Linked DNA regions of Pelodiscus sinensis. The protein of the gene in region 2 purifies or fractionates together with the protein of the main gene of each other region. This does not show direct contact. Links are inferred from orthologs where the notes say so. Each region holds a gene or a part of one and is shown on either strand. Other genes may lie near its edges.

Region 1 (3,746 bases), on a different chromosome or scaffold from region 2:
GGATCGCCTCTAGAGCCCTTTTTAAATATTAGCATTACATTGGCTATCTTCCAGTCATTGGGTACGGACGATGATTTAAAGGATAGGTTACAAGCCATAGTTAATAGTTCCACAATTTCACAGGTGAGTTCTTTCAGAACTCCTGGGTGAATGCCATCTGGTCCTGGTGACTTGTTACTATTAAGTTTATCAGTTAATTCCAAAATCTCCTCTAAGACACTTCAATCTGTGACAAGTCCTTGTCACCGACAGGTCAGGTTTGGGAATCTCCCTAACATCCTCACCAGTGAAGACTGAAGCAAAGAATTCATTTAGTTTCTCCTCAAGGACATCTTTAAGTGCTCCTTTTGTATCTCGATCGTCCAGGAGCCCCACTGGTTGTTTAGCAGGCTTCCTGCTTCTGATGTACTTAAAAACATTTTGTTACCTTTTCTGTCACCGCTGTTCCATCATGAGTCTGTAACTCACTGAACAGACTCCTGTTCAATGCCCAGTCAACAAAGGGTAACAGCCCCAGCTACAGATCTTGATTCCTCAGCTAAAGCCTGAGTCACTACACTCAGCTTTCTGCTCCTGAAGTGCCAATAGGGAGACACAAGATTGTGTGCTCAGTGGGCTATGGCTTCTCCAACCCACAACTGCTTTGCAGCCATTCCAAGCACCCCTTTAAAGGGCAGAGCCCCACTAACACCATGCCACACAGACCCCACACAGAGACAACTTGGGGGCCTGCATTCCCAGGCTGATCTGACACCTTAGTGCATCCTGCTCCCTCCACTCCAGCCATCACAGGCCTGGAAAGCAGCTCTGGGCCCTCTCAAGGCAGGAGGCCCAAACCCTGGGATGTGTTGGTGAGGCCTGGCGTGTGGAAGACCTAGGGGGGCAGGCAGGTGACCACACCGCCCAGAGGCATGGCAGAAGGAAGGGCGGCCCTCTCCTGCCTCACCATACCTGCGTCCAGGCTGGGGCCAGGTATCTAGCTGCAGGGAGCACCAGCGCAGCCCCCTGCTATGCAGAGCCCACGGAGGGGCGGAGGTTGAGGCTCAGCCTATGGCTCACCTCAACCGGTGTCCCGGACAGCGAGAGGAGCAGCAAGCCCCATGTGGGGGCCAGCATGGGATGCCTGCTCCACCCCACCTCAGTGGTCCCTACTTGTACACTGGGGTGGCCCACTGCAACCCCCCCTTGTATGCTTTTTGCCTCCTTCCTCTCAGGCTACCCACAAGTGGGCTGGGATGCTCCCCTACACCCCCTCCTTGGCACCGTCCCTTGGTCCCCTCCCACATACACACACACACCCCAGTCCCACTGCTCACCTGAGGGCTGGGATGCTCCCCTACCCCCCCTCCCGTGGGCCTCCTGATAGCCCCCCTCCCGGGCCCTAAACCCCTCCTTGTTCGCTCCACTGCATTCCCTGGGCCCTACATCCGCTCCCCCAGGCAGCCCAAGAGCCCACACCCTGGCACCCCCCTAGTCGCTACCCCCCCATTGCTCACATGAGGGGGGATGCTCCCCTCTCCCCCTGGGGCCCCACGCCCCCCTAGTCCCTACACCCCCCCGTTGCTCACCTGAGGGGGGATGCTTCCCTCCCCGCCCTGCCGGCCCTTGCCCACCTGAGGGGGGATGCTTCCCTCCCCGCCCCCCGCCCACCTGAGGGGGATACTCCCCCCCGCCCCTGAGGAGGATGCCCCCCCGGCCCTCGCCCACCTGAGGGGGATGCTGCCCCCCCACGCTCCTGAGGGGGATGCCCCCCCGCGTCCCCGGCCCCCTGAGGGGACTGCCCCCCCGGCCCTCACCCACCTGAGGGGGATGCCTCCCCCGCGCCCCTGAGGGGGATGCTCCCCGCCCCCCCGGCCCCCGCCCCCCCGAGGGGGATGCCCCCCCGCGCCCCTGAGGGGGATGCTCCCCGCCCCCCCGGCCCCCGCCCCCCCGAGGGGGATGCCCCCCCGCCCCCCGAGGGGGATGCCCCCCCGCGCCCCTGAGGGGGATGGTCCCCCCCCGCGCCCCCCCGAGGGGGATGCTCCCCGCCCCCCCGGCCCTCGCCCCCCTGAGGGGGATGCCCCCCCCGCGCCCCTGAGGGGGATGGTCCCCCCCCGCGCCCCTGAGGGGGATGCTCCCCGCCCCCCCGGCCCTCGCCCACCTGTGGGCCGGGATGCGCTGCGAGCCGCGGCCCTTGCCCACCAGGAAGTGCACGTCGCTGAGCACCTCGTTGTTGAAGAGGAAGGCGAATCGCTCCTGCACCGTGGGCTTGGTGGCCTGCCAGTTGTACACGGGCTCGCGCGGCAGCGCCCCGCCCCCGGGCCCCGCCGCCCCGGCCGCCGCCGCGGGGTTGCCGGCCCCGCACTGGTTGTAGGTGAGGCCCGGCGGCGCGGCGGGGGCGGGGGCGGGCGCGGGGGCGGCGCAGGCGGCGCCGTTGCCCGGGGGGGGCGGCGGCTGCGGGCCGGAGGAGGAGAGGCCCCCGGGGCCCCCGCCGCTCCCGCCGGCCGCCATCTTGTGCGCAGGAGGCGCGGGCGGGGCAGGGCGGCGCGGCGGCGGGCGCGGGGCGGGGGCGCTGCGGCGGCTGAGGCACAAGGCCGGGCAGCAGCGGCGCATGGGGCTCGGGCGCGGCGGCGCGCGCAGGGGGCGGGGCGTGGGGGCGTTGGGGGGCAGGTAGGGGTGGGGGGGTATGGCAGGGATGAGGCCGGGGGGGCAGTGGTGGCCATGAGGAGGGTGGGAGATGGAGGGTGGGGTGCGTGGGGGTGAAGGGCATGAGGAGGGTGGGAGATGGAGGGTGGGGTGCGTGGGGGTGCAGGACATGAGGAGGGTGGGAGATGGAGGGTGGGGTGCGTGGGGGTGAAGGGCATGAGGAGGGTGGGAGATGGAGGGTGGGGTGCGTGGGGGGTGCAGGACATGAGGAGGGTGGGAGATGGAGGGTGGGGTGCGTGGGGGTGAAGGGCATGAGGAGGGTGGGAGATGGAGGGTGGGGTGCGTGGGGGTGCAGGACATGAGGAGGGTGGGAGATGGAGGGTGGGGTGCGTGGGGGTGCAGGGCATGAGGAGGGTGGGAGATGGAGGGTGGGGTGCGTGGGGGGTGCAGGGCATGAGGAGGGTGGGAGATGGAGGGTGGGGTGTGTGGGGGTGCAGGGCATGAGGAGGGTGGGGTGCGTGGGGGTGCAGGGCATGAGGAGGGTGGGGTATGTGGGGGTGCAGGGCATGAGGAGGGTGGGAGATGGAGGGTGGGGTGCGTGGGGGTGCAGGGCATGAAGAGGGTGGGGAGATGGAGGGTGGGGTGCGTGGGGGTGCAGGGCATGAGGAGGGTGGGAGATGGAGGGTGGGGTGCGTGGGGGTGCAGGGCATGAGGAGGGTGGGGTATGTGGGGGTGCAGGGCATGAGGAGGGTGGGGAGATGGAGGGTGGGGTGCGTGGGGGTGCAGGGCATGAAGAGGGTGGGGAGATGGAGGGTGGGGTGCGTGGGGGTGCAGGGCATGAGGAGGGTGGGAGATGGAGGGTGGGGTGCGTGGGGGTGCAGGGCATGAGGAGGGTGGGGTGCGTGGGGGTGCAGGGCATGAGGAGGGTGGGGAGATGGAGGGTGGGGTGCGTGGGGGTGCAGGGCATGAGGAGGGTGGGAGATGGAGGGTGGGGTGCGTGGGGGTGCAGGGCATGAGGAGGGTGGGGTATGTGGGGGTGCAGGGCATGAGGAGGGTGGGGTATGGGGGCAGGAGAAACGCAGGAGGGGAGAGGTCAGGCTTGAGGCCTGCATTGGGGAGTG
Region 2 (3,746 bases):
TTATTAAAATCCATCTGCTCCATCAGTATCAGCCATCAAGCTATATACATGACCTAATTCTTAAACAAGTTCAATTTGATACAGTATAACTGACAGTTAAAATAAATATCAAAAGAAAGTTTGAGGCTCTCTTCCCCAAACATAACTCAGTCTTTAAAGAGATCAAAGGTGGGCTTAATTTTTCTGAGGTAACATCAATCCTTTATCTGTTTCAAGGACGTGAATATCCCACAGAGGAAAAAAAAGGCTGCTCTATGCTAGAAAGTCAGGTCAGCTTAACTAAACTCAGGGCTGTGAAAAATACCATGCCCTATGAGAGGTAATTAAGTTGCCTTAAACTCCAGCATTAGTAGACACTGCGTGGTTGACAGAAGAATTCTTACATCAGCCTAGCTACCACCTCCCTCTCAAAGAGGTGGATGAACTCCTCCTGTCCCAGCAGCAAATGTCTAAGCTACATCTCTGCTGCTGTAGCATTTCTAGCTTAGATATGAAATAAACATGCAAGTAAAGTTCAGGAACTTGCACACATCATAAATAGAGTTTCAGTGCAAGTACAGCAGAAAATTGGGGTTTGACAAGGCTTAGTGTGCAAAAGGCCTTTTAATAAGTTAATAAAGCTTCAATATGTAATCCTAGCAACTTGTATCTCATGCTTCCCTAGATAAATCACAGAACCCAATGGTGGGGATAGAGAAGTCCATAAATCAGCTAGTCTAGAACTCCAGAAGCCAATTAAGGAAAAAATGGGTACTCTACAGTGTTCCCTGTAAGCTGAGTGCTTGGGCAGCAGCCCAGGAGAGATTCAGGTGCCACCCAGATGATTGGCAGAGCACCCACTGCTGACCACAGCATGATTCTACTAGTGGTGCACATCACAAAGTTTATTCTGAACATGGAAGGAAAAACTTAGAGGAAACATTGGTACTCTCAACATTTTATGTTCCAGCTCTTCAATAAAATAACATTTCAAAATGACACGCTACCCTCAATCAATACACTTGTGTTACAGAACAGTGATTACCCTTAACTCCAGATTTAGGCTTTCCTAATTTGCAAAACTAAGGTCTTGTCTACACTACAGACCTGTATCAGAATAAAAGGAAAAAAATCAAGCCCCTGAATGACATAGCAACACCAATCTAATCCCCTGTGTAGACAGCACTCTCAGCAGGAGCGCATCTCCCACCAACATACTATTAACTATGCCAACAGGCGAGCTCTCTCCTGGCAGCTTAAGAGAACCTTAATGAAAGTATTGCAGATGCACCGATGCAGCATTTTAAGTGCAGATTTGTACCAAGATTAGGTTTCCACTGTAGCGTAAGACAGGTTCGGATTTGCGTCCAAAGACTTTGGCATTGCTTTCTTATTTATGTGCAGGCCCTCTAATAAGGAACAGATGCCAAAAAGAATGAGCAGCCAGGGGATTAAAAACAGTGGGAAGTAGCAATGGTGCCACACCAGACCCCATCAAATACCACTTCTTAGTCCAAATGAATATGAGAGGGGACATATGCTTCCAGTTCTCAGCTGTCTAAAAAATTCCTAAGTTTTAAGAATTTATGATCACCAAATACAACCTCCTGCATCACAATTAGCTCTGGGGCTCCAAACGCAACTAAAGCAGAATTCCCCCAGGATTAAGAGATGGAGAAAAGAGGTGGTGTAAATCTTCCAGCTAGCCCACAGCTCGTGGTTTAACAAGGTAACAAGAGTGCAGTGGTGCCTGACGAATTTCTATTATGGAGTGAAACAAAATACAGGACTATGTAGCACTTTATATATGGCTGTGACTATTTTCTTCCACAATTTGATCTGAGGAAGTGGGTCTGGCCCACGAAAGCTCATCACCTAATAAACCATCTTGTTAGTCTTTCAAGTGCTGCATCGTCCTGTCTCTAGTTTCAGCAAGACCAGACTCACACGGCTGCATCTCTATCACTATTCTGGGGTGCTGAGAGTCACGGAGCCAAACTGCAAGCGCTCCATACAACGGAGATCACGCCTAGGCAGGAGGTGCAGCAGCACCCCCGCACGCCCGTCCCAGCCCCGGGGCAGCGGTGCATCTTTCGGAGACTGCCCCTCACGAGTGGAAGGGAGGGAGAGAGGCGGGCGGGCGCCTCCTGCGGATGTCAGCACCGCTGCCCTGGTGAGGCCTGAGCAGAGCAGGCGGCGGCTGCAGCCCCGGGCTGTCGGGAGAGCGCGGGACACGCCACGGCCGGGGCAGGGCGGCCCCCGCTGGCGGGGCCAAGCGACAGACCCGGGGGGGGGATCCCCCAGGCCCGCCCGATCTTGTCACACGCACCCGCCGAGGGTGACCTGCGCCCCCGGGGCGGGGCCACGAGGCGCCGCCCGCAGCCCCGCGCGCCCCAGCCCGGCCTTTCGCTGCCCCCCTCCCGCGTGAGCAGCGCCCCGCCCCGCCCCGCCCCGGTCACCTTGGGCTGAGAGCTGCCGGACGCTGTTGACGAACTGCTCCAGGGCGGACGCCATCTTGGCGGCTCTCGGCGCGGCCGCGTCTCTCCGGGGCGGGCAGGCGGCCCGGGCCGAGAGCGGCGGGGGGGGAAGCGGGAAGGAGGCTCCGCAGCGACGCCGCCAGAATCCAGCCAATCAGCGGTCGCTTCGGGAACCGCGAGACCCAGCGGCTAACGTCACTTCCTCCATGTCACATCGCGAGAGCAACGTCCCGCGGAACAAACGCCCCCTGAGGGTTACCATGGGAACGGCCTGCTCCCGCCCGGCGTCACGGCCTGTAGTAAAGGGCCATTTTACAGCCGAATCCGTGACTCAGCAACAGCCAGGGGGCGCGGCCAGTGACGCGATCGCGCCTCGCCATCGCCTTCCATAGAGCGCCGCGTGACCTCACAGCGGCCCGGTCAGCCTCGAGCCTGCAGCGCCTGGCACCGGCCCCGCCCTCACCTCAGCCCCCCCCCCCCCGCAGTCACGTCACCCCCCAGCACTGATACCCCCCTACACTGATACCCCCCCACAGCCACGTCACCCCCAACACTGATACCCCCCTACACTGATACCCCCCGTAGCCACGTCACCCCCAACACTGATACCCCCCAACACTGATACCCCCCCACAGCCACGTCACCCCCAACACTGATACCCCCCTACACTGATACCCCCCCACAGCCACGTCACCCCCAACACTGATACCCCCCAACACTGATACCCCCGCAGCCACGTCACCCCCCAACACTGATACCCCCCTACACTGATACCCCCCGTAGCCACGTCACCCCCCAACACTGATACCCCCCAACACTGATACCCCCCCGTAGCCACGTCACCCCCAACACTGATACCCCCCAACACTGATACCCCCACCATCTCCCCCCACAGCCACGTCACCCCCAACACTGATACCCCCCTACACTGATAGCCCCCGTAGCCACGTCACCCCCCAACACTGATACCCCCAACACTGATACCCCCCCGTAGCCACGTCACCCCCAACACTGATACCCCCCAACACTGATACCCCCCCGTAGCCACGTCACCCCCAACACTGATACCCCCCTACACTGATACCCCCCCACAGCCACGTCACCCCCAACACTGATACCCCCCAACACTGATACCCCCCCGTAGCCACGTCACCCCAACACTGATACCCCCCAACACTGATACCCCCCCGTAGCCACGTCACCCCCAACACTGATACCCCCCAACACTGATACCCCCCCGTAGCCACGTCACCCCCCAACACTGATACCCCCCAACACTGATACCCCCAC

The links.
Region 1: the proteins of COPS3 (region 2) and BTBD2 purify together in Homo sapiens (affinity purification with mass spectrometry; 3 studies listed by BioGRID and IntAct, counting the BioPlex papers as one, with this or other methods). This does not show direct contact. The link is inferred for Pelodiscus sinensis from reciprocal best matches to the Homo sapiens genes COPS3 and BTBD2.

What each region holds. Positions count from the first base shown.
Region 1 is NC_134729.1:27,667,722-27,671,467, reverse strand, and holds the start of BTBD2 (BTB/POZ domain-containing protein 2), read right to left. Parts: upstream 2,491-3,746; coding exon 2,141-2,490; intron 1-2,140.
Region 2 is NC_134726.1:33,863,223-33,866,968, reverse strand, and holds the start of COPS3 (COP9 signalosome complex subunit 3), read right to left. Parts: upstream 2,751-3,746; 5' UTR 2,494-2,750; coding exon 2,439-2,493; intron 1-2,438. UniProt on the Homo sapiens protein: Component of the COP9 signalosome complex (CSN), a complex involved in various cellular and developmental processes.